2 linked regions of the Rhinolophus ferrumequinum genome follow. The protein of the gene in region 1 interacts with the protein of each later gene in a biochemical or structural test. Links are inferred from orthologs where the notes say so. Each region holds a gene or a part of one and is shown in the gene's direction. Other genes may lie near its edges. The genes, in order: COPS7A and COPS4.

Region 1 (15,350 bases):
ATGGTAACAGCTTTGTTTCTGTTTTTATGTAATCCTTCAACTTTTCTTTTCCCCTTTTCTGACTCTGGCCAGGATCCCCATTAAAAGACTGAATAGAATTGGTGATACCAGGCATTCCTTTATCAGATTAACAAGTGCCCTTCTAGCTTTCTAAAAGATTTTTTGATCACAAATGTTTGTTGATTTCATCACGTGCTTTTTTGTATTTATTGAGATGATTCTGTGATTTATTCCTTTAGTCTCTTAATGTGATGAATAAAATGAATGCATTTTCTAATATTAAGCTACCCTGAAATTCCTGATATAAATTCAAGTTAGTCTTGGATTTTGATCTCTTTTGCACATAGCTGGATTCAGTTTGCTAGTATTTTATTGAAGATTTTTATATCTTTCTTAATAAATGAGATTGACCTATAATTTTCCTTTCTAGTATTGCCTTTTCTGGTTGGCTTATCAAAGTAATTCTGGTCCCATAGAATGAGTTGAGGAGTGTCCTTTATTTTCCTATTTTTCAGGAAAAGTTTGTATAAGGTTAAAATGATCTGCATTTTGAAATTTGGTGCAGCTTGCCTGTACGACGTTATTCTTAACCCTTTCTCCTCTCACACCTCACATCTAATCCATTTGCAAATTCTGTTCACTCTAGCTTTAAATCAAATTCAGAACCCAACCACTTCTCACTTCCATTGCTACCACCACCATCTCTTGCCTAGATAATTGCAGTAGTTTCCTAATTGGACTTGTTACTTCTGTCCGTGCAGCCATCATATTTTAAACATATGGGTGGTTATATCCCGTTACTCCTCTCTCAAATCCTCCCTTGGCTGCCCATCTCACTCAAAGGAAGAACCAATGTCCTTACAATGGCCCACAAGGTCTGATATGATCTGGCTTGTTCTCTCTCTGGTCTCTTCCACTACTTCTCTCATTGCTCACTCTGCTCTAGCCATACAGGTCCCCTTGCTGTTCTTCAAATACATTAAATATGTTCTCATCTTTGTACTTGTAGTTTGCTCTGCCTAGAACACTGTCCTCAAAGAAATTCACATGACTTGCTCTTTTTTTTTTAAGGTCTCTGCTCCATTGTTACCTTATTAGAGAGGCTTTTCTTTATTACCATATATAAAACAGAAAACATCTCCATCTCCCTCTTGTTTTTCTACATAATATTTATGTATATGTATATTTATGTATTTATTGCCTGAGTCTCACCAAAAAAATGTAAATACCAAGAGAGCAGGAATTGTGTCTATATCTCTAGTAGATAGAACAATGCCTGGCAATAAGAGGTGCTCAATATATACCTTTTGAATCCATGATGAATATTTTATTTATTATGTGTCTGACACCTTGAATGTCAGTCAGCCTCTCTGGATTTATTTAAGTGCATCTTGTGTTCTATCCTTAGCATTAAAAACACAGCACCTGGAGCAGCCGATGGCTCAGTTGGTTAGAGCGCAAGTTCTGAACAACAGGGTTGCTGGTTCAATTCCCGCATGGGATGGTGGGCTGCGCCCCCTGCAACTAAGATTGAAAACGGCAACTGGACTTGGAGCTGATCTGTGACCTCCATAACTAGATTGAAGGACAACGACTTGGAGCTGATGGGCCCTGGAAAAGCACACTGTTCCCTGACATTCCCCAATAAAAATTAAAAACAAACAAACAACAACAAAAACACAGCACCTGGCACATGCCTTGTACACAACTGTCACTTAGTAACAAATGAATGAACGATATATCCTAGGTTATGTTTAAGTTTAATTAGCTTCCATCCTCCCCTTGGAGATCTTTACTTTTCTTCCCACTTTTCCCATTTCTACTTCTTTCTTACATCTATTCTTCCTCCTCTTCTGTCTCTGCTCTTTCTGATCTCACTTCTTTTGTCTATCCCTCTCCTCTCTTTCTCCAAATTCTCCTTTTCCACTTGTTTTCTCCTTTTCTCCTTTTCCTCCTCTTTTTCTCACAGAACCATAAAACATCAGAATCAGAATTGGCCTTGGGGATTTTATTTATCTCTCACTTTGCAAACATGAAAGAGGAGATACCACAGATGACACAATTTGCTTTAAGGTCACAGCTAGTTCATGGCTGAATCAAGACTAGATCTCAAATTATCTCTTTCTTCTTCCTCTCTTCTTTCTTTTTTCATCTCTTTCTTAACACAGTGTTGGAATCCGACAAACTTGCATTTGGATCTCAGTTCCACCACTTATACTGGTGACCTTCAAATTATTATTATTATTATTATTATTATTATTATTATTATTATTATTATTATATTGGGGAATATTGGTGAACAGTGTATTTTTCCAGGACCCATCAGCTCCAAGTCAAGTCATTGTTTTCGGTCTAGTTGTGGAGGGCGCAGTTCATTGGCCCATGTGGGAATTGAACCAGCAACCTTGTTGTTAAGAGCTCACGCTCTAACCAACTGAACCATCTGGCCGCCACAACAAATTAACTTCTGTGATCCCTGGTATTTTTACAGGTTAACTGAGATATTAATATGCACCTCAAAGGGTTGTCATTAAAACTTATAAAAAGTTGAACAACAACAATAACAAAAATCCTATACATCTAACATCATAATTAATGGTGAGAAACTCAAAACTTTCTCACTAAGATCAGGTACAAGGCAAGGCTGTCCCATCTCACCATTCCTTTTTGACATTATACTGGAAATTTTTGCTAATGCAATAAAGCAAGAAAAGGAAATAAAAGGTATATAAACTGGGAAGGAAGACATAAAACTGTCTTTGCAGATGATGTAATAATTTATATAGAAACTCCAAAAGAATCAACCAAAAAAATTCTTTTCGAACTAAATAATAAGCAATTATAATAAGATTGAAGGATGCAAGATTAATATACAAAAATTAATTACTGATATGCTAACAATGAACAAGTGGAATTTGAAATAAAAAATGCAATACCATCTACCTTAGCACCCCAAAACTGAAATACTTAAGTAGAAATCTAACAAAATATATATAAAGTCTATATAAGGAAAACTACAAAACTCTGATGGACAAAATTAAAGAAGAAACTTTAAAAATGGAGAAATAATCCATATTCATGGATAAGAAGACTCAATATTGTCAGGTTCTTCCAAACTTGACCTACAGATTCAATGGAATTCCAATCACAAACCCAGGAAGTTATTTTATGGATATCAACAATTGATTCTAAAGTTTATATGAAGAGGCAAAGACCCAGAATAGCCAATACAATATTAAAAGAGAAGAACAAAGTTGGAAGACTGACACTACCTGACTTCAAGACTTACTGTAAGGCTATAGTGATAAAGCTAGTGTAGTATTGCCAAAAAAATAAACAAATAGATCAATGGAACAGAATAGAGAGCCCAGAAATAGACCCCCATAAATATAGTCAACTAATCATTAACAAAGAAGCAAAGGCAATACAATGGATCAAAGATGGTCTCTTCAACAAATGGTGCTGGAACAACTGGACATTCTCATGCAAAAAAAATGAATCTAGTCACAGACTTTGAATACACACACAACTTTCAGAAAAATTAAAGTGGATCACAGACCTACATAGACTGGGACATGTAAAATGCAAAACTATAAAACTCCTAGAAGATAACATAAGTACAAACCTAGATGACCCTGAGTATGGTGATGCCTTTTTTAGAGACAACACCAAAGACATGATTGATGAAAGAAATCATTGATAAGCTGGACTTAACTAAAATTTAAAACTTCTGCTCTGAGATAGGCAATATCAAGAGAATTAGAAGACAAGCCACAGACTGGAAGAAAATATTTGCAAAAGGCAAATCTGATAAAGGACTATTAATCAAAATATGCAAAGAACTCTTAAAACTCAATAAGAAAACAGACAATTTGACCCAAACAATGATTTCACCAAAGAAGATATACAGACAGCAAGTAGGTATATGAAAAAATGCTCCACATCTTATGTCATCAGGGAAATGCAAATTAAAACAAGATATCACTACACACCTATTAGCATGACCAAATTCTGGAATACTAACAACACTAAAAGGTGGCCAGGATGTGGAGCAATAGGAATTATACATTGTTGGTGGGAATGCAAAATGGTGCAGCTACTTTGGAAGACAGTTTGGTGGTTTCTTACAAAATTAAACACACTTACTCATGACCCAGCAATCACGTTACTTGGTGTTTACCCAAAGGAGTAAAAAACTATGTACACACACACACACACACACACACAACTGGACATAGATGTTTATAGCAGCTTTATTCATAATTGCCAAAACTTGGAAGCAACCAATATGTCCTTCAGTAGGTGAATGGATAAATAAACTGTGGTACATCCAGACAATGTAATACTATTTGGTGCTAAAAAGAAATTAGCTATCAAGTCATGAAAAGACATGGAGGAAACTTAAAGTGAAAGAAGCCAATCTGAGAAGGCTACATATTGTATGATTCCCACACTATGATATCCTGGAAAAGGTAAAACTATGGAGACAATAAAAAGATTAGTAAGAAAAAAAAAATATTAGTAGGTATCAGGAGTGGGGGGTGGGGAAAGATAAATAGGCAGAGAACATAGAAATTTTAGGACAGTGAAAATACTCTGTGTGATATTAAACGATGGATGTATGTCATACAAACCCACTTATTGTACACCACCAAAAGGGAATCCTTTGGTAAACCATGGATTTTGGATGATTATAATGTGTCAATATAAGTTCATCCTTGGAAAAAAAAAAAGTACCATTCTGGTGAGTGATGTTGATAATGGGGGAAGTTATGCATTGTAGTCACACAGCAGCCTAGCCAACTGTCCCCCCGTGTCTTTCCTTAAGGAAAGAAGAGTCTGTAAGACTGTGCCTTTCTGGGACTCTGTTCCATCCTTGTGTTTACACCTTATGTCTCTCTGTCCGGTCCCCAAAAGATGGTTTGCAGCCAAAGACATAAGATACCTCATGGGAGATACAACCTAAGCCAGGCGGAACCGAGTGGGGACCCCTAATGAGCTGCCTTAGAGAAATATGAAAAGGGGCCTTGCCTCCCCTTCCCCCTGCCTGGGAAAGTCTGTTGCCGGCTCTGGCTTTTCCCTTGCACCTGTTTGTGAGAAAAATCATGAAGACAACAAAGATCAGTTCTCTCACTTATCTCAATGGAGCTGTTACAATATGAGAGACTTGACCCTAAAAAGGTACATACCTTAGGTTAGACATCATGGGACCTTGTGCTTCGGCTGTTTATAGACAAAGGGTGATTGGAATAAACATTTTTCTACTATGATGTATGAGTCTCACAGACCGTGTAAGAAACAATGTTACTTTCTTGTGTTTGTATACCTATCAATAAAAACCTTCAGTCAGCCTTATTCTGGGCTCCAGCCCTCTGAGACTGACAGACCCCTGGCCTTCTGAGAGATTTAACTGCATTAAGTCTCCGTTTGTTTCTGTCTTAAAAACTTAACGCAAACCGCCCCTTCTCGCACCCTCACTGCCCTTGTTGCGCTGGATGCGACAATGCATGTGTAGGAGCAGGGGTTATATGGGAAATCTCTGTTCCTTCCTCTCAATTTTATTGTAAACCTAAAACTACTCTAAAAAAAATAAAGACTTTTTTAAAAGTTTTAAAAATAAAGACCTAATAGAACATAATAGAACATAGTTGGCTCTTTTCTCGTTCTTTCCTCATTTTTTTTCTTTTCCTCTTTAAATTGATAAGATTGAACTCATAATTCTTTGGTTCCTTCAAACTTTGGATATTTTATTATGTCTTTGATTTCTTCTCACTTTTATGTGTCATCTCTTCCATTCATTTCTTCTTTCTCCTCTTCCACCTCTTTCTCCTTCTTCTTTTTCTTCTCTTTCTCTCCTTTCCTATTTCTGCTTCCCATTTTCTTCTAGAAACCACACCATGTGGACCATAAATTTTAAGTTTAAAGTCCCTTCAGCTGCAGTAGTCTACCAGTCTTATGATTTTCTCTTATTTACTGTCCTCTTTTTCCACGTTCTCCTCTTTCATTTACATATAAATTACTTAACTTCCTTGGCTCTCAGATTTTCAATCTGGAAAATGGAAACAATAATAGGTTGTTGTTATAAGCATCAAACGAATTAAGTAAAGCTCTTAGCTCAGTGCTTAACACAAAAGCCTCCAAGACGTCATTAACTTTTATTCTCATCTGAACTTCTGCAAACCCGGTATGAAATATAAAACAGTATAGAAATGTTAGTTAATTTTTTTCCCCTAAAGTATCATGGTGAGCTTTCTGTGCTCACACTCGTCGTGGTGGCACCAGGTGCTCCCCCAACGTGCAGAACGACGCAGGCGAGTTCGTGGACCTGTATGTGCCGCAGAAATGCCCCGCCAGCAACCATATCATCGGCGCCAAGGACCATACATCCATCCAGATGAATGTGTCTGAGGTTGACAAGGTGACAGGCAGGTTCAATGGCGTTTAAAACCTACGCTATCTGTGGGGCCATTCACAGGATGGGTGAGTCAGATGACTCCATTCTCCGACTGGCCAAGGCTGTCAGCATCGTCTCAAAGAACTTCTGACTGGAGAGAATCACAGATGTGGAGTATTTGTCCTAAATAAATAGTGACCCTCCCCCCAAAAAAAAGTATCATGGTGAAGTGGAAAGATGATTTCGGGTTTGAAAAGACTTGAACCCCAGTTTCCTCATCTGTAAAACGATAATAATACATGCCTTCCTTACACCTAGGTTTTTTTCCTCCCCAAAGAATTAAAAGAGTCAATGTTCAGGAAAGCATCACTCTATAAGTACATGTTGTAATCAAGATAGATGGTGTCCAGGAGTCACACTAGGGACGCTGTAGTTATGAGGATTCAATGGGATAAAATTTTAAAAGATGCCTGACTCAATACATGTAAGTTATTTACCTTTTCCACTTCTTTTCTCTTGCTCCTCAAAAAAATGAGTGGTTGAACTACCCAGATGATCTCTGCTGCTAAACTTCTATTATTGATATGGTCTCCTTCCACTCTCCTCCTCAAATCCCGCTTCCCGCCCCTCCCCCCTGTTTTTCCTCCTCTTTTCCCATGACAGCCTTCCTCTCGCCTCAGGGACCCCCGTGCAGCCAGGTCTCCAGATTTCTGGCAGCTTGGAACTGACACAGAACCACCCGGTACCTGCCTGAGATCAGAGGTTCTCTCTACAGTTAGCGTCTAGCGCTGGCCAACAATAAAGTTTTATTGAAACAAAGCACGAAAAAAGCGCCCGTCAGTCTTTCCTCAACAGTCAATCAGAGAGTAGAATGCGTGTGTCGCTCACAGCTACTTCAGCAGTCGGAAGGCGAGAGCGAGGAATATCCCGCCCCAAACCCGCCTAGTAAGAGCGGAAGTGCGGCCGGAAGTCATCCATAGAGTTTAGTGGCCAGAGCGACCCTGCATGGAGGTGGCAGGAAAGGCTCGGAACAGCTGCCGGAGGTGACGGAGCGACGGTCCCGCCCCGTGCTCTGGAAGACGAAGCTTCCAGGTAGCGGCCCGCAGAGTCTATTCCAGGGTACGACACAGCAGTCGGCGGGAGCCCGCGGTCCCGGGGCGGCCTCTTTAAGGGAGGGGGCGGAGCCACGTGGAAGGATCTTGAGGGTGAGGTCACGTGGTTGGGGGCACCTGCGGGACACAAGTGGAGATACGAGGTAGCGTCGTCACTGGGATGGACACCATGTGACACCCATTCCCCCACTGCATCTTGTGCTTTGGGGTTCATTGGGGTGCATGTGGTGGGTTTTGGGGTTAGGCCCAAGTGTGGGAGGAGGGTGGGCGTGGCAACCTTGTATCAGCCAGGCTTCCATCAAAGTGGCCCCGTATTAGGATTCCGAGGTCCGAGCTTTAGACTGCTCCGTCTCTGATTCCTCTTTGCAGAAGTGACTCGGTGCCTCTGCAATCAGCCCCTAGCCCTGTGCTTCCCATTCCCCCACTGTTTAGGGACCTCCATTTTCACATCCTCTTTCCTTTCAGGTCCAGACATCCTGAGCCCAAGTACCCCCAGCTCAGTGCAGCCATGAGTGCCGAGGTGAAGGTGACAGGGCAGAACCAGGAGCAATTTCTGCTCCTGGCCAAGTCGGCCAAGGGGGCAGCACTGGCCACACTCATCCACCAAGTGCTGGAGGCCCCTGGTGTCTACGTGTTTGGGGAACTGCTGGATATGCCTAATGTTAGAGAGGTGGGTCCTGACCTGGATAGCCCACAGGGAAGCTTGGGGCTAAAGTTTGAATTTGAGAATGGGGGGGCAGGGCTCATTTTGTAACCCCATAACCATTCAGTTGAACAAGAATAGGATGATGATTAACTGGCATCTTGCAAGAGTACTAAGTACACAAGTAAGCCTCTTAGTTTCCCTTTGAGGATAAGTGATCTGTGAAACCCGATATTCTTAAGCAAAAGAGCCTGTTATTCAGAATAGGAGACCTGATTCCAGCCTGTCTCCACCAATGTAATAGCCCTTAATAATCATGTCACCTTGATCAGGATACTTTTATTTTAGGGGCTCAGTTTTCTCTTTTAAAAATGGAGCTGATAATGCCCCCTCACCGTTACTATAAAAATCAGATGAAATTATGAGAAAGTGTGAAGTCGGGTATAAATGGAAGGAATGTAACATGAGATTGGCATGCCCTGTACTCCCCTCTTTGCACCATATGCTAATTCACTTAAATTAGATCAGGTAGAAGCTGTCCTTTTTCATAAAGACATGTGGCAAGATGCTAGAAACACAGCATAGAGAACTATTCACACAGACGTGGCAGAGTTAAGAGTTTAAAATCCAGGGTGGGTGAGTCGCCAAGATATATGACACCAGCCCAAGTCCTGAGATGCTATGACAGTGGTATGTGGGCAAACTATGAGTTAAATTGTTGAGGGCCAGTGATTGAGTCAGCGGATTTAGCCTTCTGGGATCACTCTGTGGTACGGAGAAAACTGGCTGCCTTCTTTCCCTGCTTTCCTCTGCAGTGGAACTAAAGATATTCAGTCAAGGTGAAGAAAAAGCACATATTGTATGTATATTTAGCACTCTGCTAGTTGTCTGGGAATGCCAGAAAAGTAAGAGACAATAGAGCTTATCCTTCTGAAACTTACTTCCCAGTTACAGAGATCAGACGAATGGATATACATGTACATATCATTTATTTAGCAAGTATTTATTGAGAGAGCCAACTACATACTTAACTCTGCTAGACCTAAGTGGGATACCAGAGACTAGGTCTATAATCCTGTTGGAAAGAAATACATTCTTAGGTAACAACCTTAGGTAGGGTTTGATTGAATAAGTGCCAGAATGAGTGATCAGTGATAGAAAAGGAGATCTAGGTGGGCTGCCCTGGATGAGAAAGCCCCCTGGGTGAGGCAGGTCTGAAGCAGAGGCCACAAATTCCAATGACTGCCTAGGCCATGTAGCTGTCAGAGATGAGTGAGGCTGAGGCAGGAGTCTGGTGAATAGGGGAGTATAACAAACTGCCTAAAGATAATCAAACTCACAAATATTAAACACACTCTAAGGACCAAACAACACCATTTGCAATGTTGGGTGTGTGTGTGTGTTAGATACTGAACGCTATGAATGTTTTAAACTCTGAATTTAGGGTAGGAATTGGGGGCATATGGAGGAAGAGGGCATTGTAGGTTTGGGGGAGCAGTGTAAGCAAAGGCCTAGCGGTGGAAATGAGGCCTTCCTATGGGGAGAGTGATGAAAGATGCAGACAGTTCCTCTCAGTGAGCTGGGAGAGTTAATGGAGACGAACGATGGGGCCAGAAAGTGGGGTTTGAAACAGGGAAAGGCTGGGAGGAGGTGAACAGAGAGGCCCTTCTTCCTGTCATCTCTTCCCTCATATTCTTGCAGCTGGCTGAGAGTGACTTTGCTTCAACGTTCCGCCTGCTCACGGTGTTTGCTTATGGGACATATGCTGACTACCTAGGTAACCAGAGGGCTGGAGCTCTAGAGTAGTGGAGGTGGGAGAAGGGCATTTTCTGGAGGGACTTAGAAGTTCCTGGGGTACCCTACTTAGATCCCTTAGGTACACAGAGTCTTGGGTCAAGCCTGAATTGGCATGGACAACTGAAAAAAAAAAAAATCAGTGGAAGGAGGCTAGGCCTTCCCACAAGAAGGGAATCAGAATTTCCTATACTTTGTCCTTTTTTCCTAGCTGAAGCCCGGAATCTTCCCCCGCTCACAGAGGCTCAGAAGAATAAGCTTCGACACCTGTCCGTCGTCACCCTGGCTGCCAAAGTCAAGGTGAGTGATAGTTCCCCCAGTCCTGAGCCAAAGAGCATCCTTTTGTATAGCCCTTCACAAGGGCCTGTCTGAAGAGAATTTGTACTTGGACAGCCGTTGACCACACTGTTGCTTCTTTCTGCTTTCCCCGCCATGTCCCTCCAAGGTCTGTATTTGAACTCCATTACCTGCAGCCTTTTAGGCTAAATATTCTCTTAATTTTCTGTTCTTTTAATTTTTTAATCAAATTCTAAACATCTTTAGTTTTGGGTCCAAATAGCAACTAGGATGCCATTCACTGTGTTGTTCAACAATCACCCTCCTCCCCATTATAGAAATTCCCATCCAAACAGCCTCCACGCTCAGAGCTGGGAACACGGTTCTGTCTGCTGGTGGAATACTAGGCTTCTATTTCCTAGAATAAGAAATAATGTAACCTGGAAGTGTCTCTATATTTCCTGTTAGGTTTGGTTTTTCGTTAAATATCCCCCTCCCGCCCATCTGCACTCTCCCAATTGTTACTAGGCTCTCCCGTTGTTTTCATGATTTTACTTAAATCAGGCTCTCTATTGTGAGAAGCCTCTTTGGAAGTACGCAGTGTGTAAATGGTGAACAGTAACTCCGGACCTCTCCCTCACCACACACTCCCATTATGTCAAGCTGATCTTGACCAAGGTCTGAGTGCTACCTTGAGCTGTGGCCAGAGGATTGACACCCACGTAGAGGTCACTTTCTTCCTCTGTGGTGTGGGAGGTAAGGATGGGAGGAGAGCATAAATCTTCCATTTTAAGATTGTCCTTCTCATGCTATTATTTTTCAGGTGGGAATACTTTTATTTATTTTGCTTTAGAACCAACCTTTTAGAAGACATATTTAGGAGTAGGAGGGGAGGGTAGGCAGGGGAGCCTAGGCTGGGGAAAGGAAGGAAGAAGAATGTTGGAAGCCTCTCTCTGCAGCAGAACCTCACAAATCCCAGCCCGACCTCCCTGGGCCCCAGTGTATCCCATATGCAGTGTTGCTGGAGGCCCTTGCCCTGCGTAACGTGAGGCAGCTGGAAGACCTTGTCATTGAGGCTGTGTACGCCGATGTGCTGCGTGGCTCCCTGGACCAGCGCAATCAGCGGCTAGAGGTTGACTACAGCATTGGGCGGGACATCCAGCGCCAGGACCTCAGTGCCATTGCCCGAACCCTACAGGAGTGGTGAGACCTGTGTCCTGGCATTGTCCCTTCTCTTCTCACCCCAAGAAAGGGAGATGTGCTTTGGAGGCGTGAAGGCTGGGCTGGGCTGCAGAGGTGGAATCCAGGTGGATGAAGGGAAATGAGCTTGTTCCTCCAAAGGCTTCTCAGAGAGGAAAGGAGTGGAGGAGGGGTTGGGAGGCAAGAGGCAGGAGATGGTGTCCTTGGTATAGTAATTGGGGGAGGGAAAGGGGAGTGGTACTCTTAGAGGATCCTCACTGGGAGGTTGGTCACCTCTTAGGCTGGATTCAACCCATTGATCTGTAACCAGCATTGATTGTCCATAGGTCCTGGACCTCTTCCACTTTGGCTTTTCTCCTTGTGTCCTTCCCTAACCTTAGTTAATTCATACACCTTTTTTTTTTCTCTTTAGCTTCTCCTATCCCATTTTGTTTTCAGTTCCTAATCCCATCTTATACATCACTCCAGGTACTTCCTTATAGCTCTCTTCTCCTACCTGAGTGTCCTTCTGGCTCCTGGGAATATTGTTGCAGGTGGTTTCCAGGTGCCCTGGTGAGGGTTCCTAACTCAGAAAAGGGTTTGGATACCAGGATCTAGGGTCCTTTCTGAATCTTTTTTTAGTGAGTCTGTCATCACAGCTCTCCTGCTGCTTCTCACTCCCGATTCCTGCAGGTGTGTGGGCTGTGAGGTAGTGCTGTCAGGCATCGAGGAGCAGGTGAGCCGTGCCAACCAGCACAAGGAGCAGCAGCTGGGCCTGAAGCAGCAGATTGAGAGTGAGGTGAGTTGGCAGGACAGCAAGACAGACCCAGGCTCCTGCAGCCTGGGCCAGTTGTCCAGTGCAAAGGGGTTTGGACAGGGGCTGGAGCAGACAGGCAAGGTGGGCAGGGACTGTCAGGTTCTGGAACCTTCCTTGTTATCTTCCACTCCTTTCATCCTGGCAGGTCGCCAACCTTAAAAAAACCATTAAAGTTACAACAGCAGCAGCAGCCGCAGCCACATCTCAGGACCCTGAGCAACACTTGACTGAACTGAGGGAACCAGCTGCTGGCACCAACCAGCGCCAGCCCAGCAAGAAAGCCTCAAAAGGCAAGGGGTAAGCCAATGTGGCAGGACCTGCTTGCTTCCAAGGTGCCCTGCTTTTCCTTCAGAGACCTGGCTGCCCTCACTCCCTTTAGTCATGGGGGTAGGGGATGGGGGCGCCTTTAGGCATTTGGGGAGTCCCTGCAGCCTCTCTGTCTTCTCTTGCCAGGCTCCGAGGGAGTGCCAAGATTTGGTCCAAGTCGAACTGAAGGGACTGTCGTTTCTTCGCTGGAGATACGGGATCCCAGCTGTCTGCCTGCCCCTTAGGAGTCCTCAAAGAGCCTTCCTGTGCCCCTGGCCAGCTGATAATCCTAGGTTCATGACCTTTCTTTCACCTCCCTTCTTCTCTTCCCCAACCCCAAGCATAGATCACCCCTTCTCTAGGGAGGAGGCAAGTACAAGTCATGTTTTTGTTGGTACTTTTTGTTTTATGTGACTTTCTTATGTGTCCCATTGTCCTACTTATCTTCGCTGCCATGCTCTCTCCCGTATATTTTTAAGAGCCAGCATGTGTCCTTGTTTATTATGTGTCATTGAGTAGGTGGGGCTGCGATGCCTGCAGTATAACCCACATATGTTCCTTGTTGTACCACCTCACCCCTGCATGCCTAATCCCCAGTTCTGTTCCCTACCCCCAGCCTATTTGGGCAGCATCTGCAGAGCCACTTTTATTCCCACTCTGAGAGTTCTAGGAGCCAGTCCGCCTTTGTAGGAGTCACTGGACACTTTCATCCTAGAATTCTGTCACACGACAGTTGTTTCCTTTCCTCGCACCTCCCCTTGGGTCCTGGGAATGCTGCTGCTTCAATGACCCCAGAGCCTAAGAAGGGTAGCTGTTTCTTGAGATGTTGAGAGATGCTTTTTTCTTGGCGCTGGCTATCTTGGAAAGCCTGATGGCAGTCTTGGAAGGATTTATACTTCCTTTTGTGAAATTGGTGGGGAAGGGAAAGGGATATAGATTGTATAAAAAAAGTATATATACATAAATCTATATATAACATAACACAGAAATAAATCTATGAGAAGTCTATCTACAAACATGCCCTGAACTGGGTATCTTCTGTCTTTGATATTTGTGGATGGGAAGAAGGTTCATTCCCAATCCACTCTAAAGCAAAATTTTGGAAAAAGAAGAGAATCAGATACTGTGTGCTGAGTCCTGGGCTATATGACTTTGGACAAAATGCTCAGTATCTCAACATTCATTTAGAAGTAGTGGATACTTACTGACACCAACATGTAATAGGCACTGGAGATGCAAAATGATGGTCATTCCCTGCTCTCAAGGAGCTTGACTTCAGCCTGTTTCCCTCCACCTTATAGAATTATAAGGGGGAAGAGTTGCCAGTAAACTTGAGGTTTTACTTCACAATCACACAGAACTCTCAGATCTACAGTAAGAAGCAGGAGTCAGGATACTGTCTTTTGCCCAAGGGAGAGCTTCCCTCGCAGTGTCCTGAGACGATTGATCTCCTTGGCTTCGTGGGTTGCTGTGCACTCCCTAGAATTGGGAAGCTCTAGTGTAAGGGACTGTTGAGCACCTCACTTGCATGTGAAGCAGTTGCTTTCTAAGGGTCCCGGTGTTGACTGAGCTGCTCTCCAGAGTTTGTGCTATTCTGTAGGTGGAGATTTAGGACACACTCTTCACTGGTCCTAAAGGTATTCAGTCATAGAACTAGAAAGATCCTGAGTTTTCAATTAAAAGTGGGCTGGTTGAGTGTATTGTCTTGAGAGGCAATGGAAACTTAATGGGCCCAGTCCACGGAGCCCTGTTTCAGGAGTTGACACGCTTGGCTTCTCATTTTAGTTTTTCTCTAGACAAGCTTGGTGAGCCTGTTGCACCTTGATTCTCAGTCTCTACCTCTGCAATAAATCCTTTCTTCCTCCCACACCTTCCAATGTGTAGAAGTTGCTAATTCCTGGCTTTGAACCTGTACCCCATCCCTCTGCCCGTGCCCGTTTTTCTCTTGAACTTAGTATCCCATTTTCCTGTAAGCTAATTCCAGCTGATGGTTCCATAACTTCCCTGACCTCTCTAGTTTCCATCCTTTAGTGGGTGGTTGTAAAGTGTAGTGTGGGCTGGGCTGGGACTATCTGGCTCAACACCCAAAGTGGGGCGGGGTGGGGGGCGGGCAGGGATGCCGTTTACAGCCCCAAGGACATGGAAATGCAATTTGTCTTTGAATTATAAAGATGGGCTCCTGGCTACCAAGGCATGGGGGAAGGGGAGCGGATTATTTGTGGGCTCAGTTTTTGACCATGAAATTTGGTTCAGGTTTTAGAAATTCCATGTATAACCAAGCCCAGGGCACCAGGAAAATCTTCCCAGCCAAGAACCTTAGCACTATTTGCACTCACACGCTGATCCATACTGTACAGGAATTTAGATGGTCTTAGGGTTGGGCCACTATGGTAAGAGGAAGAGGAAGATAACTTACCTGCAGAAGCATTCAGAGTTCTTGCACATGAAACAGATAACGTTTAAAAGGTTAAGCCAAGTCTCTGACGCTAAAAATGGCAGTTGGATTGGTGCACATCTTTATGCACAAGAAGAGCAGAGACAATGTCTACAGTCAGTATTTCATGAAATCCTGTTAAAGAAAGATCAGAGAGTCCTCTTAGGTGTGTCTTCCAACATGGATGGCCAAAAGGGGGTTTAGAGAGACAAGTCTAGGCAGTGTATTAGTTACCTACTGCTGTGTACAAATTACTCTAACATGTTGTGGCTTAAAACAACACACATTAACTCAGTTTCTATGGTTTAGGACTCTGGGCACAACTGAGCTGAGTTTTCTGCTTTAGGGTCTCTCACAGGCTATGATCAAAGTGTTAACTAGAGCCATATTGTCTC
Region 2 (16,088 bases), on another chromosome or scaffold:
TATGATTGTGCCTCCCATGGGGTTCCCTGCCAGCCCACACTCCGTCTTTAGCAATTTATTTTAAAATTTAGCAGAATTCTTCTTTCCTGTTTGTATGGCTACACCATCTTCCTTCCCAAGCTCTGCCACAGATAACCCAGTGCTTGCATCTCATTTGTGTTTAGAAGCACCTGTCTTTCCTTAGGTTTCAGGCTAGTTGTTGCCCTGTGACCTCAGCTCTTTGATTGGCTCAGAAAAAGTTATGATTTTGTACATTACTTAGATTATTGTGGTGGTGGTGAGAGCAATGCTTTTTCCAGCACTCTATACTGAGGCAGAAGCTGGAACTCCTCCAGGTGTTATTTTATTAAGAGAATCTGAGGGTCTCTATTGTTGAACCACAATTCTCATCCCAGTTTTTACCCAGCATAGTCCTTCTACTTAGTCTCCTAATCCACCTCTTTCTAATTGTCTTTGTATTTCTCAGAGCTCTCGCTTTTCACCTCTCTCTTTCACTTTTCTCTCCACTTCCAATTCAACTATATGACCCCACTTGAAACATGAGTATATGGGAGCCAGCAGACAGACACAGTGGGCAGTAGATGGCATGAGTGAAGCGTAAGGTTACAGTGAATCTAGAGATCAAAAGGGAAGAGGATCAGAACACACTCTTGAAGAAGGAGAAAGTGTATGGACCTCTAAGGGGAAGAATAGGACCTGGCTGGGCACTGTTCTTAAGAGGACCTGCTGGTCATCCTGACACCAGAGGAGCTTTGGGGAAGCAGAACCATTGTGTTGAAACTTCTCTTCCTCTGAGGCTGGATAAGCATTAGCCTTTGAAACCACTAGAGAAGACAGAAGACAACTTAAATCATAAATAACATATAAATACATAAATAAAAGCACTTAAGAAGACTAAATTCAATATCTATACACGAGACTATGGAACAAAAAGCATAGTTTCATTCCCTTTTTAAATTGAGGTTTTACATTTAGTGAAATGCACAGATCTTAAGTGTACAGTTTGATGAACTTTGATAAATATATACACCCATATAACCCCCACCCCTACCAACATATAGAACGTTTCTATCACCTCCTACTACTTCCCAGTAAACTGTCACCCTTCCCAGACAATTTCTGATTTTCTATCACCATAGACTAGTTTTATCACATTTAGAACTACATGTAGATGGAACCATAATGTCAACCTCAAAAATAAAATAGCCAATTATTTTACTAGCAAATGAGTTTATTCCTGAATAAACTCATTTGCAATTCAGGACAATCAAGCTATGGCAAACCATAGGCCAGTCCAAGAATATTAAATGGAAAATTCCAGAAATAAACAATTCGTACATTTTACATTGTGCACCATTCTGAGCATCATAATGAAATCTCGTGCTGTCGCGCGCCATCATGCCCAGGACATGCATCACCCCTTTGTCCAGCTTATCCAAGCTGTATACGCTATTGCCCGTTAGCCACTTAGTAGCCATCTGAGTTACCAGATTGACTGAGATGGTTCCACAGTGCTTCTGTTCAAGAAACTCTTACTTTACTTAATAATGGCCCCAAAGAGCAAGAGTAGTGATGCTGGCAATTTGGATGTGCCAAAGAGAAGCTGTAAAGTGCTGCTTTAGGGTGAAAAGGTGAATTCAGTACAATAAGATATTTTGAGAAGAGAGACCACATTCACATAGCTTTTATTACAGTACATTGTTATAATTGTTCTATTTTATTATTAGTTATTGTTGTTAATCTCTTACTGTGTCCAATTTATAAACTAAACTTTATCATAGGTAGGTATGTATGGGGAAAAAAAGGGTATATATAGGGTTTGGTACTATCCCCTGTGGATAGGGGGGATGACTATATAAATTTTTTATGTCTGGCTTCTTTCACTCAGTATAGTGTTTTTGATATTCATTCATGTTGTTCCATGTGTTAAAAATATATAACAAATTCAAAATGGACTCGCTTTTGACAAGCCCCACAAAGCCTTTACACCTAACCATACTGCAGTTTCAGCCTCTCCCAGGAGTGGAATTTTAAACAAATCAGTCTAGATGGAATTCCCTGGTCAACACTAGTTAAGTAATCTGCTTGATAAAACTTCCCCTAAGGGAAGGTAACCTTGCCTGAAATAATCCACTCTCCTTACTTTCTTGTCCACCCTCTTTCTGCCTTTAAAAACCTTCCACTTTGTAAAACTCCTTGGAGCACCTTTCTAGTTGCTAGATGGGATACTACTTGTATATCCAGGTGAACATTTTTTTAAACACGTGTCTGTAATTTTTTTCTTTTCAATGCTAAGTAATATTCTAGTGAATGAATATACCACACCTAGTTTACCCACTTTCCTGATGATGAACATTTGGGTTGTTTTCACTTGGTGCTATTATAAATAAAGCAGCTATAACATTTTTACAAAAGTAAACATATGAAAATCATGATTTTAAAAACACAACATTGAAGATATATTGCAGGAGATTAAATCTTGCTAAATAGTGGAAAAGTCCAAATAGTGGAAAAGATATCTCAAATCACAGAGCAAAAAATGTAAAGAGAGAAATTATGAGGCAAAGGCAAGTCACTTTGAAGATAATCCAAGAGACCTGATATATGACTATTTGGAGTTTCAGAAGGAGAGAAAGGAACAGGTAAAAGAGAGGTCACAATTAAACAAATAATAATAAAAAGTTTCCCTGAACTAAGGACAGACTTGCATTTGCAGATGAAAGGGGTCATGGAGTTTCAGCTAAGATCAATGAATAAAGACACACTTCGTATCTGAGGAAAACCACTGTAAAGAGATCTTAAAAATTTCCAGGTGGAAGGAACAAGTTACCTATAAAAAGAAGAAAAACAAGAAGAACAAGGAGGACAGGGAGCTGGGGGAACGAGAGGAGGAGGAAAAGGAAAGGGAGAAGTAGAAAGAAGAGGAAGTTGTGGAAATAAACACAGAGTGACCAAATGAGAACAATTAAAGGCTATTTATTCAGAGCTTTTCATAGCAAGGGAGTTGGCCACCATCACCTGTTAAACAGTGAGGCAAAGGCAGGCAGAGGAGTGGGAAAGCTTTGTAGTGGTACAAAGGAAATTCAGGTACGCCCTAATTAGAGGCTGTTGGCATGGGGAAGCTGTCAAGCAGCCTTAATTGAAGTGGGGCACCCTATGTGATTGGTTAGGGGAACATACTTGGCTTTCGCTGGTGGGACCTAAGTTAGAAGTAGGGGCAAAAATTTGGGAATCTGTCAGTTATTTATGGAGTAGTTGACATTTTGGGCTGATTGCTACAGTTGTTTGGCTTCCTGGAATGATTGCTACAGATTGTGGGTCAGAGCTTTATTTTTATATATGGTCTTGCCATTTCTGTTTGCATATTCAGTCTCTCAAAGATAAGAAAGAAAGGGAGAAGAAGGGGGGGGGGGAGAGAGAGAGAGAGAGAGAGAGAGAGAGAGAGAGAGAGAGAGAGAGAAACAGAGAGACAGAGAAACTGGCTCTGGACTTTTCATCTAAAATCCTAGAAGCTAGAAGACTGGAGTACCATTTACAGTTCACTGAGGGAAAAAGACAGCCAGCAGCTCAGCGCAAATCTCATTCAGCTGTCAGGATGATAGGAAGATATTTGTGAATATGCAGATTCACAAATGTACCCATGCACAGCATCTGAGGGATCACCTAAGAGTGAACACTACCAGACAATAAAACAATCAGAACAGAGACCTCATATCAAGACAGGGAAGATGAAGAAAAGGGAAATTTGTGGTGAGTAATTTCTTTAAATGTACACAGCAATGTAAGTAAATAATGACAAGGTCACTAGGAATTATAATAACACAAGTAGTAAATTAAGGATTGCTAAAATAGACACATTGCAAAGGAAAACCAAATACTTGGAGAAATGGAACAAAAGTACCAATTTTTCTTAGTGAAACCTAGGAATTATGTGGTGATAGAGGGGCAAAAGTAAGTATGTTCTAAAGGTCTCAACTAGGAGTGAGGGGTGGGGAATTAAAAATATTATGAGTCTCATTTATTGAGGTGTAATAAAGAGACAATGGGGGACTAAAATGTCTAGAAGGGAGGAAATGGCTGAATACCTGTTCTCACATATTATTACAGAAAAAGTGTTTGATAGTGAATATCAGAAAAGGGAAAGTAATCACTAGTTAAATTGAAAAGATGACATACTTTTATTTAAGCCTTAATACACTTTTCACACTAGTTAAATTTAAAGGAAAATGATACAGGACATGAAAGAAACACCCAGAATATGTGGCAGAACTCAGGAAAGAATTAGAAATAAAAATAACATTTTAGTAATGAAGATTAAACTAAGAGGAAACCAGGAGTAAATAAAAATGGCAGGTGGTGTCTTAAGAGAGTTAAAAAGGAAGACATTTTTTAAAATAAAAAAAGATGTGAAAAAAGAAATAAAAAGATTTTGAGGAAAATGACTAATATTAAAGCTAGGTGAAGAAGATCTAACATATAGATAATAGTAGTTTCTGAAGAAAGAAACAAAAAGAAGAAGTACAAAAATATAATTAAAGATAATGTTGTTGAAAAAAATTGAAACTACATATTGAAAAGGCACACTGTGTACCTGAGAAAATCGACCGAGAATGACCAACACCAGCATATAGTCTAGTAAAATTACCTGATATTAGAGGAGGAAAAATTGGGGAGCATTAGGCAAAAAGAGTAAGTGATTTATAAGGGAAAGAAAATTAGGCTCTCATGAGATATTTTTCAAAAATGTTTTATGTCACAAGAATATGGAGTGCCAGCCACACTTAAGATTCTCAAAAAGTGAATCAAGGTTTATTATATCTAACAGAACAGATTTTCAAACATAAAAGGCACAAGATGTTACGAACATACAGGAACATGCAAGAATATGGTCTTCATGAGCACTTCCTGAGAAACCTAGTAAAGAACTAGCTTCAGACAACTAAGATGGCTAGAGAGGTATCAATATAAGAGCAAATGGTGAGCATTAAATATGTATTACTTATAGAACTAAGATGAAATGAAGAAAGTATTGTTTTAATGGCTGTATGTGCTCATAATATAGACATACTAGAATTACAAAAATGAGAGGAAATGGGGAGAGGAATAGCAGGAAAATATTGAATTCTTTTCAGCAATCATATTGGGGCGTGGTAGGTATTAGTATTGTTATGCTGAGGCTGTTGTGTGTATAACATGGAATGAATGAAATGAATAATTATGAAACTTACTGATTCTCTAATCCTCTATGTACTGTGAACCAGGATTCTGGATGTACAAGGAGATATAGTTGTAATACACAGGAGAGGTTAAGTAAAAACACTTAAATTAGATTTGGAGTACCAGTATGAACTCATGAGTTATTTCATCCTTAAAATATGTATATATTTCCTAGTTCTGTTCTATGAAAATTTCCCCAAATGACCAATACAGTAGCAATGAGAATACCTAGCACTAGAATGCTATCTGTAAATATCAGTTCCTAAGAGGAACTAAAGAAATAAGGGCTTCTTGGAGAAATGGCTAATTCTGGGTCTAGGCTAGGAAACACACAAGATCACTCTAAAACAAATTTGTTACACAGCACTAACAACATGTGGAATAAACGTAGAGTAAGAATTAGTGCTTAGAAAACAGCAGAATACATACACTCACCTATGTTCTTTTTTCTTCTCCAGCAAGGCATATACGACCTGGACACATGGGACTTAGAATGGAAGATGAGCTAGGAAAAGGACCCCAGGATGACTTCCGTTGCTTGTTTGGGGGGCAATTGAGGGGATAGAACATCTAGTTGAATATGTAAAAATGGGAGTTTCCTAGCCAGGGAAATGGTGTTATTAGACAAGAGTTTAGTGAGGAGAGCTGCTATACCAGTTGTGTTGGCATCTGCTGGAGCAGTACTACCCAAATTTTAATGTACAAGGATTACTAGAGGGATTTTGTTAAGATGACAATTTTGACTCAGTAGGTTGGGACTAGGACACAGGTTTTGAATAGTACAAAGAAGTAAGATTTGTGCACTTTCCTTCAGTTAATTCAGATATGCCTAGCAACTTCTTGCTAAGCAACTGAAAAGATGGTTAGAATAAGCTTCCATCTGGGTTTGTTTTTCTTCACTGCTATAAGCAAAACCTAAAAATAGGTACTATTCTCTTAGAGGTTGGGAAGAGGTAACTAGTGGTCCAGAAAGGGGAGGCTTTGTCATGTTGAAAAATTATCACATTGTTGCATACATTAAGTAGGAAGGCAGAAAACATCCCTAACTTGTAGCTCAAGTGGAGTTATCTGTTAAGAGCCAATTTGTGTGTGTGGCTGCTTCTTTTTGCTTTCAGCAAGGAATTACAAGTGAAGTTGGGAGTCAGTGTAAAAAGGGAATAGAATGTCCAGAAATTCTGGGGTTTCACTAAGTTGAAAAAGGCAAGTGCTTATGTACCCTTAAATAGCAGAAGAGAAGACATTGCTTAGAGATTTCTCATAGCCCATTAAAACTTTTTGGCAAACACAAATAAAAAACAACAAAAAATAAAGATAAGCCGAAGCAAAAATCAAATTAATAGAATTCTCTTCTCATTTAAACCTATTGTTTCAGATGATTTCAAGGCTGCCATCATGAAAAATATTAAGAATGGGTTGAGTGTGGAAGCTAGGAAATAAGGCAGGTTTAACAACTACGTCTAGAAACAACTTTGGTTTTGGTCTTGGCACCTGAAACTGTCTGGAAGCAAACTGGGTTTACTGAACATTCAATGAAATTATATTTTTTTTGAAAAACCAAACACTGAGAATCCTGGCCTACAAAAGCCTCCAGTTGTTCAAGCCCTAAGGCATTCCCTCCAAGAAGAAATACTCTCCAACACCCTGTTAACCTGTACTGACAAAGGTTGAGCCCACAGAACACAATGGACAATAGAGATCCTCTCAAAGAGCAGAACTACGGTTTAACCGAGGAACTTATTCCACTACCGGGGTAGTGGGTGTTCACATTACTGCCCAGAATTCCACTATTGCCACAGACAAATAACTGCTGTTGTTTCCTATTTACTTTTTCAGAGTTTTGACTGTGGTTATTCTGTTCCTGTTCCACTATTGTTTTGTGTTACAGGTATGGACATGAAGCAGATAATATATTTTATAGTTTATATGTTTCTAGACCATGAAAATCCACATTCTAATTAATGGAGAAGACTGTGCATCATCAGACATCCTGGATTTTGAACTGATATAAAAACTACACTTGATCTTAGCCAAAAGGCTGAGAAGCGATCTGATATAGAAACTGAATGAAAAATTGAACTATCTTCTTTAGGGGTGACAGTGTTCTGTAAGGAGAAAGATACACATAGTTATTTAGGTGGTCAGAGGGACAAACTAGTAGAGACTGCTGATTGTCCTTCTAAAGCAATCCTTTCCTTTTTCCTGGGCAAAAGCCTGCCTAACTGGAAATTAAATTTCCAGTCTCATTGTTGCTAGGCAAGTGCACTTGATGTAGTTCTTGCCAGTGGAGCAAGATTTGAATTGATGTGGGCAACCTTCACATTATTTTCTTACAGGATTTCCTCCTTCTGGTCTTCTTTTCTTACCCTTTTCCAATAGAGGGATCATGTTATTTTTTTTACATATCAAGATGGCAAAAATTCAAAAGTTTGATATCCTTTGTAGGCAAGGCTGTAGAGCATTGCATTCCTACATACTGCTGGTAGAAAGGCAAAAATGGTAACATCCCTATAAAGTGCAATTTGGCAATATTTATAAAAATTATATCTACCGTTTGACTCTCTACTTAGAATATATTCTACCTGTACACATGCAAAATGATTCATGTATAAGGTTATTCATACCAGCATTGATTGATTAAAAACAATTTAAGTGTCTAGCTCTAAGGATTAAATAAACTATGGCATCCCCTCATTATATGTAATATTCTCCAGCTCTAAAACAGAATGAGGACGCTCTCTAGACTTATATGGTAGTATGGTCACCAGCAAAAGTGAAAAAATCAAGAGCAGAATAATGATGTGGGGTGACATCTTTTATGAAAGCAAGAAAGGAGAAAGACTTACATTTATTTATTTGCTTGTATTTGCAGTATTCTGTGGATAGATAAGTAATGAATACAATTACATATAAAGATAGGGTGACTGTATAATTTGTCATCCAGGTGGTACTGTTTCTAGAGTGAAAGGACGTGTTATTAATAATTACTCCTGGACAACAGATGGAAAACGGCACTGTCCTGGACAAACTGGATGTATGACCAACCTATAAAAAGGATATAGAGTAGGAGGGGGGATGTGGACATTTTATATTGTATTTTACAAAAGAACTGGGCTGTGATAAATTGGCAATAAAAGCAACTCGTTCTTTACCACAGGTAGTTTAAGAGCTGCCTGAAAGAACGAGGAACGGTAAACCACAGAGGTGAAGCACGGAACACAATGAAGACGCGGTGGTTCTGCGTACCCGGCACTTACTGGAGTTGCACAAGTGACACACTATGAGTTCGTCCGCCAATCCGAACTGCGAGCGTGCGAGCTTGAGCCTGCGGGAGAGGCCAGGGCGGGCTCCGGACTTGAAGAGTGGAGCCTTCGCGTCACTCAACCCTGGGGGCGGACGTAGCGCAGGCTCACACACCCGGCGCTCTGGCCCACACAGACGTTACTCTATGGCATCTCGGGTTCCCTCTGGCTGCGCTCTGGAGGACTACACTCGTTTTCTTTTTGGCTGTGAGAGGCCCGGCAGCCTCGGCTGAGCTGGAAGAAAGATGGCGGCAGCCGTGCGACAAGATTTGGCCCAGCTCATGAATTCGAGCGGTTCTCATAAAGATCTGGCGGGCAAGTGAGTATTTCCCAAGGCCATGGGAGGTGGGGAGGGAAGCCACAGACTTGTTCCCCTTGGGTTGACGGAGGCTTTCGGATGTGTGGCTAGGAGCAGCCCTGAGGATCAGGGGGGCGGGCCTGAGGTCGGTTGTGGAGGCAAATGTTGGGTGCAGCAGAAAGCTGGAGGAGTCCTCGTGCAGGGAGCTCTTGGGACCATAGACCTAGGGTGACTGTCAATTTGTTCAGCGCTTGATAGCTGAACTGGTCTCTTAAGATTGTGGAAGCGCGGTCTGAGGGACGACTGCTCCCACGGCCTTCTCAGCTTCCCTGGTGCCTTTCTCCATCGCTGGCTGGCCTCTCACACCGAATTCTGGCACCTCTTTGGACCTCTTTTTTTTTTTTTTTAAATTGAGGGAAATTTATATTCTGGGAGCTCGATGCAGAGTTTTTTAGGGAGATGGCTTCTTGAGGCTCTTGGGCGTTGAGGAGGTATGGCCGCTATCATGTCGTCCGGAACCACTCGGATCATCTTCTGTGGGTTCTTGTGTTTTGGGTACTCTCTCTCTGCCACCAACTCTGAAGAAGGGCACATGGTCGGAATGTCCTTAAAATATGGGTCAGGATATCGAGAGTAGTGATGTTTGTAGGAATCTGGATTGGTTAGGAATTTTGTCGAAGTTTGTGTAGATGGCTTATTAGCAAGTTAAAATTCGTGACAATTGCCTGCACTGCAAGCAGTTATTCAACAGTGCTAATCATAGATAGATAGAGATTGTCTATTTCTCTTTGTAGATTTCACATTGCTGTCCTTTTATAATGAACATGCATTCTGTTTAAAGTATGCATCTCAATTTGATCCTACGTAGTATTTACATCCTGACAGCTGAGATCACTTTGATATATAGGATACACCTACTCTTACCTGACCATTGAAACCTTGACTGTGTGTTATGTGGGCTTTGCTGCCTTTTCTCTGGTGGTAAATGTAATCTACTTTTATCAGTAGGAAATTTTGCCGTGTATCGTAGGTTTTACTTCCTGTGGCAATTTCCCCCTCAGGAAAATGGGGATAATTAGAGGACTTATTCCTGTCTGAGGACAAAATGAGTATGTGTGTATAAATACTTATATCACTTAGCACAGTACCTGACACTTAGAAAGTGCCACAAGATTGTCACTATTATTATTATTAAGCAGTTAATAATTACATATTGACTTATTCTATAGGTTGAAAATATGTTGAATATGTCTTCATGGCTCAATCCTTTTTGCATTTTTGCAAACCAAATCCTTTTGCAAACCTAATTTTTATAGGTTTGGATGAAAGTAAAACTAGCTTATATTTTTTTCCCATGCTTGCTTTCTTTGTTTTCTTGAAGAAAATAAGTGCATTAGTTATCAGAAGAGATGTAGTTTTTATGTATTTGCAGAATTCTGAAACTTAAGCATTTAATTCCTCAGTTCTAATTGCAGATAAACAATAGTACCGATCTTATTGGGTGCTTCAGTTATTTATTGCTGTGTAACAAACCAAAAACTTACTGGTGTAGAATAACTATTATTTTTTTAGGATTCTTTGGGTTGACTAGACTGTTTTGCTGGTCTTGTTTGGGCTCACTCAGACAGGTGCAGTTAGCTGGCAGCTCAGCTGGGGCTGGTGGGGCTAAAATGGACTCACATACATATATGGCTGTTGGCTGGGTCTCTCTCTCTCTCCACATGGTCGGTCTTTCATTCAGTTGTTTAGCTAAGGCTTCCTTACAGGACCAACAAAGTGAGAGTGGAAACTGCCAAGACCTCTTAAGGCTAGCCTTGGAAGTCTTACAACATCACTTCTCAAGTACCAAAGTAAGTAACAAGAGCAGCCCAGATTCAAGGGGAGGGGAAATGGAGTTTACCTTTTTATGGAGGGAGTGGCCAAGTGACATTGCAAAGGCGCTTGGTCAGAAGGAGGCATAATTCATTGGAGGCCAAACAATCTATCCCATGGAGTTCTGTGAAGATTAAAAGAGATAATGTGCTTGATAACTGATAGCCAGTGCTTTCTGAGGAAAGTTTCAGCCTTGCGTGCAGGTACATATCTGGTTCTATGTGGGCAAGAACGTGTCAGGATATTTATTTTAGTAACAAAATAGTTCTGCCAGCTACATGCTTTATGAGAATAACCCTCATGAAATATAGCAGTAGTTTTGGGTTTCCATTAGGAGTTGAGTAACATAGCATTCCATATTAAGGAATGATGGAGAAAATTTGTTTCTAAAATATTGATACTATGTGTTCCCAGCAATTAACAAGATATCTATAACAGAGCAGTCATTCAATAAATATTGTTTGATTCAATACATATCTAGAAAGGTGCAGGACTAATATTTGAATCCAGGTTTGTCTACTCTAAAAAGCACATTTTTAATCTACCAACCTCTACTGCTTTTCTTGCCAAAACTTCAATTAGAAATAGTTTCCCATAACTGTGATTTAACACAACAGTGTAAAATTGATATAAACAAATGGCCATAGGAGAAGCATTTTTGCAAATTTTATAGGCTGCTTTTGTACATATATGCATTGTGTTCATTTTCTCAAAAAAAAGCCTTAGACAAGAAGGAGAGGAAGAGAGCCTTAACAGGGAACATTTGAGTAGATAGCTGTTGTGATAGCTTGTCTTATTCACTTAGCTAAAACCTATTTAGTTTTTCAAAACTCAGTTCAGATGTTACTTCTTCCAAAAATCTTCCCTAAACAACCACTAACATAAACTCAACCACCCACTCATAGGACCTGGTTAGTTGCTCTTATGCTCAGTGGCATCCTATATTTCCCTGTATCGTAGCGCTTAATTGTTTGGTCTGTTTACTTGTTTGCTTCTCCAGTTAGAATGATTTCTTTGAGGGCAAGTATGAGGTTGGATTATAGGTTTTTGTTGAGTTAATCTTATAGAAATAGAACCTTTTATATTTTTCTTTTCTTTCCAGTTTTGCAGTATGGAGGGTACTCAGAGGAAGCTATCAGACCTTTGGAGTCTAAACATTTCATTTTATAAGAAGCTGTTAGCCTGGAGAAAGGGAAGTAATGGGAGACCTTTTAGTGCCTTTGACTAATAGAAAAGCTGTTTTACAGGAAAGAAAAGAGACTCCTCTGCTTTATAAAAGTAGACTTTGGATTAGAGTGGAATAAAACCGTCAAAAAATGGAGGACACACACACACACACACACACACACGAAACAGAACATATAGACGATGTGCGTATAACCTCGGAGGCCCCTTCTAACTCAAATTCTCTGGTTCTTGTTCCCACACATAACAGTTTAGTGGTTTCCATCGCAAGAGTGAAGTTCCCTAACATCTAATGTTTACTCTGTGCCAAGCACAACTTTACTGACATTTTTAATGATTCTTAAAAAGTAAGATTTATATTACATATGAGAAAACTGAAGTACAGAGGTAGAATACCTTGTTCAAAGGCCACATAGCTAGCTAGTGGCAAGGCCAGAATACAGCCCGCTTGGCTCATAGCCCTCACCTCTAAACACATCTGCCTTTTGGCCTTATATTATTTTCACGAAACTGGATTGCATTTCAGATGGTCATTTTTTTTTTTCTTGCCTAGCATGCCTGTCTTCCCCCACTCTTTCTCACTTACCACGAAGTTGAGATATTTAGAATGCTTAAAGATCAACCTCTTTAGGAAATTATTTTTCCTAAAAAATTATATTAGCCCTTACCTGTTTTTAAGATTTTGTCTTTTAATATTCTGCAACTTCATTTTGATGTGTCTATGTGGATTTTTTTTTACTTATCAATATTAGTTTTTGTTTTGAAATAAACCACTGTAAAACTTAGTGGGTTAAAACAGTAATTTATTTAGCTCATAGTGCTGTTGGTTGGCAGTTTGGGCTGGGCTCAGCTGGACGGTTCTCTGCTCCACATGGCCTGGGTTCCACGTGGGCTCGAACATGTGCCTGTAGTCAGCTGCAGGTCAGGTAGGCAGTTCTGCTTTTGCGTGTTGGCTGGGGCAGTGGAGATGACTGCGCCACGCGCCACATACTTTGTTATCCAATAGGTTAGTCTGCTTTGTTCATGTGACAACAGCAAGGTGCCAAGAGATAAAGACGTATGTATGGCCTCTTGAGGTTTAGATTCAGAATAGGCACTTCACTTCTCCACTCTATTGGTCAAAAGTAGCCCAGATGAAAGAGTGCGGAAATAAACTACCTCTCAATTGTGAAGAGCTACAAAGTCACATTGCAAAGGAACTTAGTACAGCAAGTGAAAGAGTTGTGGCCTCTTTTTGTAAATGCTCTACTGTATTATCCTTGTTGAGCTTCACTGCATTTCTTGAATCAATAGATTGGATTATTTCATTGCCCTGGGAAGTTTTCAGCTGTAACTCTTTTATTATTTTTTTACCCTTTTTATAAATTAGTTTCAGGTGTACAAAACAGCGTAATTGACCTGTACACCCTTCACAAAGTGATAAACCACCCCCCCTCAGCTACAGTTCTTTAAATGTTGCCTCTGTCCCATTCTGTTTTCTCCTCCAGTGTCACCTGTTGGCCCTCTTACTGTGGTCTCTGTCTCTTACCCTGTCTCCTATACTTACCATGTCAGTGCTTTATTCTGGATAAGTTCTTCTGACCGGCTTTCTAGTTTATCAGTTCTTCACATGTGCTGTTAAGAACACCATTGAGTTTTTAAGTTTGATTATAGTATTTTAGTCCTACAGTTTTTCGTAGTTCTTTTTTCAAATTACACTTTTTATGATTCCCAGTTTCTTGCTGAAACTTTAGTTTGTCTTTATTTCTATAAACATGGTAAACACAATTGTATTATAGTTTTTCTGATAACTAGTATCTGGAGTTCCTGTTTGTTATTGCCTGTCGCTTTTGTTGATTCTAGTTCATATTGTCATGTGCTTTGTAATCTTCATTTGTTAGGCCAATTATTTAAAAATGTATTTTTAGAAACAATTGGAGGCCTAGGATGTTACCTTTCAGGGAGGATGTTCATTTCCTTCTGCCAGGTAGGTACCTGGGGATGCTAGCCGTCTAGGTTCCAAGGCTTCAGAATTTTTTGATTTACCTAGGTGATCCTTGGAATAGATTTTGTAATCTTATTTCCAAAGTGCCAGTGTTTCCTCCTTTGGCCAGCAAGGAACTGAGATCCCTGTTTTTCTGGTATAGCTCTCTTCGTTGGCCAGAAATTGCGACTTGCTTCTCTGTTTTTCCAGCAGATGGCGGAATGCCTCAAAGCAGAACCCACCTCCTTCGCCCCACCAAAAGTGCCACTCTACCTCTCTGTCTTGCCACAGTCAGCAAGTGCTTTCAGGCAGAAGCTATGATTCACGTCTTTATGCTCTCACTCTCACCTGTTTTCTCTTTCTTGTTAGGATTTTATGCTGTTTGTTTTTTTATATTTCTTTTAGCTTACTTTTTTTTTTCTTTTTTTGAGGTAGGATTGGTCTAATCACCTAGTTCACCGTTACTGTAAGTGAAATATCTTGTTAATACATGCCTAAATAGTGACTGGGATACATTTTCATGTGTATATGTTTTATTTACCTCCAGATTCCTTTTAAGTGCCAAAAAATCAGGATTGACATACTGAACTGGAGTTCACATGCATATATATTAAATGCTCAGTAAACATTTGTTGATGATAAATGGATAAAACAGATATAAGGTGCCTTAATTACTGAAATTTGTTTTCCTCCATATTTCTTAAGGAAAAAATATTTGGTAGTTGTCATGTTCTCCATATCAATTACTTTTCCTTCTTTTCCACTGAGTATATACTGAGTGCTCAATAAAAAGCTATTGTTATTTTCTGTGAAACCTCCTCTGACTAATCTAACCCATTATGGTTTTACTCTCTTCTGAATTAAGATAATTACTTGTCATATCTCTTACACTGTTCAGTTTCATTTTAACTTTTGTTTTATTGTAATTTAATACTTGGTATATTATTTTTTATTTCCCAGCGATAAGATCTTCAAAGTCTAAGGTTATTTGAAATTTTTTTAGTGTCATACACAGAATCTCATATAGCATTTTAAAAAGCCTAGGTGCTCAGCATTTTTGGATGATTTTTATATGGCAGTATTAAATGGCTATTTAAATCCCTGATTTAAAATAAGTTTTTTAGTCATTCTATATTATTATTGTGAAAAAAGTAAGTCCTCGTTCTTAGGTACTAGAAATTATGTATTAGAGAAGGAGCAGGGTAGCATCTAGCCCCAACTCTGTACCTTAATCTATAAAAGTCAAGAGTTTGAGTAGGCAATTTCTAAGGCCCTGGCCAATTATACAATTTGTTACTATAAAGCTTTCATTACTTTTTAGATTTATTTTGGTGTGTTCCCAGTACACATTAGTTAATAAGTTATGAAAACTGTGTTATTAAAAACTCAGGTTAATCAGCAAATTTCTATAAGTGAGACATCATCTTTGAATGTTATTATTAGTGTAAAATAATCTATGAGGATGTAAGAATAAGAGGGCTTAGCCATAAGCCTTGATTTAATTGAGTATGAAAAATATCAAAAAAAGAAATAATAAACCATTGACTGTATTAACTGAAAGCATGCCCAGGGCAATAACATACATGTATAAATATACATAACGAAAAATGTGTGTGTGTAGACAGAGAGAAAGAATGAGATAACTGAATTTTATGCCTCAAATGTAGCAATTTTTTTTTTCTGGAATATAAAGCGCTTTTTAATTAAAGCATAGTTGACATACAATATTGTATTAGTTTTAGGTATACAACATAGTGATTAGACATATATATAACTTACGAAATGATCACCACCAGAAGTCTACTAAACATCTGTGTATTGTGATGTTGACCGTATTCAGTATGCTGTACATTACATTTCTGTGACTTACGTATAACTATAAGTTTGTACCTCTTTATTCCCTTTACTTTTTTTGCCCATCCCCCCACCACCCAACCCTCTGGCAACTATCAGTTTGTTCTCTGTATCTATGAGTCTTGTTTTGTTTGTTCAACAAATAGAACAATTTAAAAAAGAACAATTTTTATTTTAAAGCTTAGCAGTATTTCCTTGCTTTCTTACATAGCTCTCCTCTTCTGGAATTTGCTGTCTTTTCTGTCCGTAGACCTGCTTTCTTACAAAGTCAGTTTGATTCATTGTAGTTTTGAGAAATCATGTAACCAAGGTTGTGAGACTATTATTGTGTGAGTTGAGAATCGGTAAATGCTGAATGGTAGCTTGATGGTGTACCCTAAAAAATGCAAGTCATAAATTT

What was found.
Region 2: the proteins of COPS7A (region 1) and COPS4 form a complex in vitro, tested with the Homo sapiens proteins (2 studies listed by BioGRID). The link is inferred for Rhinolophus ferrumequinum from reciprocal best matches to the Homo sapiens genes COPS7A and COPS4.

Annotation. Positions count from the first base shown.
Region 1 is NC_046293.1:23,923,949-23,939,298, forward strand, and holds COPS7A (COP9 signalosome complex subunit 7a), read left to right. Parts: upstream 1-7,341; 5' UTR 7,342-7,486; exon of another isoform or gene 7,487-7,649; intron 7,650-7,971; 5' UTR 7,972-8,014; coding exon 8,015-8,176; intron 8,177-9,850; coding exon 9,851-9,926; intron 9,927-10,154; coding exon 10,155-10,243; intron 10,244-11,219; coding exon 11,220-11,422; intron 11,423-12,091; coding exon 12,092-12,197; intron 12,198-12,360; coding exon 12,361-12,512; intron 12,513-12,668; coding exon 12,669-12,708; 3' UTR 12,709-13,539; downstream 13,540-15,350.
Region 2 is NC_046288.1:37,915,446-37,931,533, forward strand, and holds the start of COPS4 (COP9 signalosome complex subunit 4), read left to right. Parts: upstream 1-8,189; 5' UTR 8,190-8,761; coding exon 8,762-8,835; intron 8,836-10,580; exon of another isoform or gene 10,581-10,664; intron 10,665-16,088. UniProt on the Homo sapiens protein: Component of the COP9 signalosome complex (CSN), a complex involved in various cellular and developmental processes.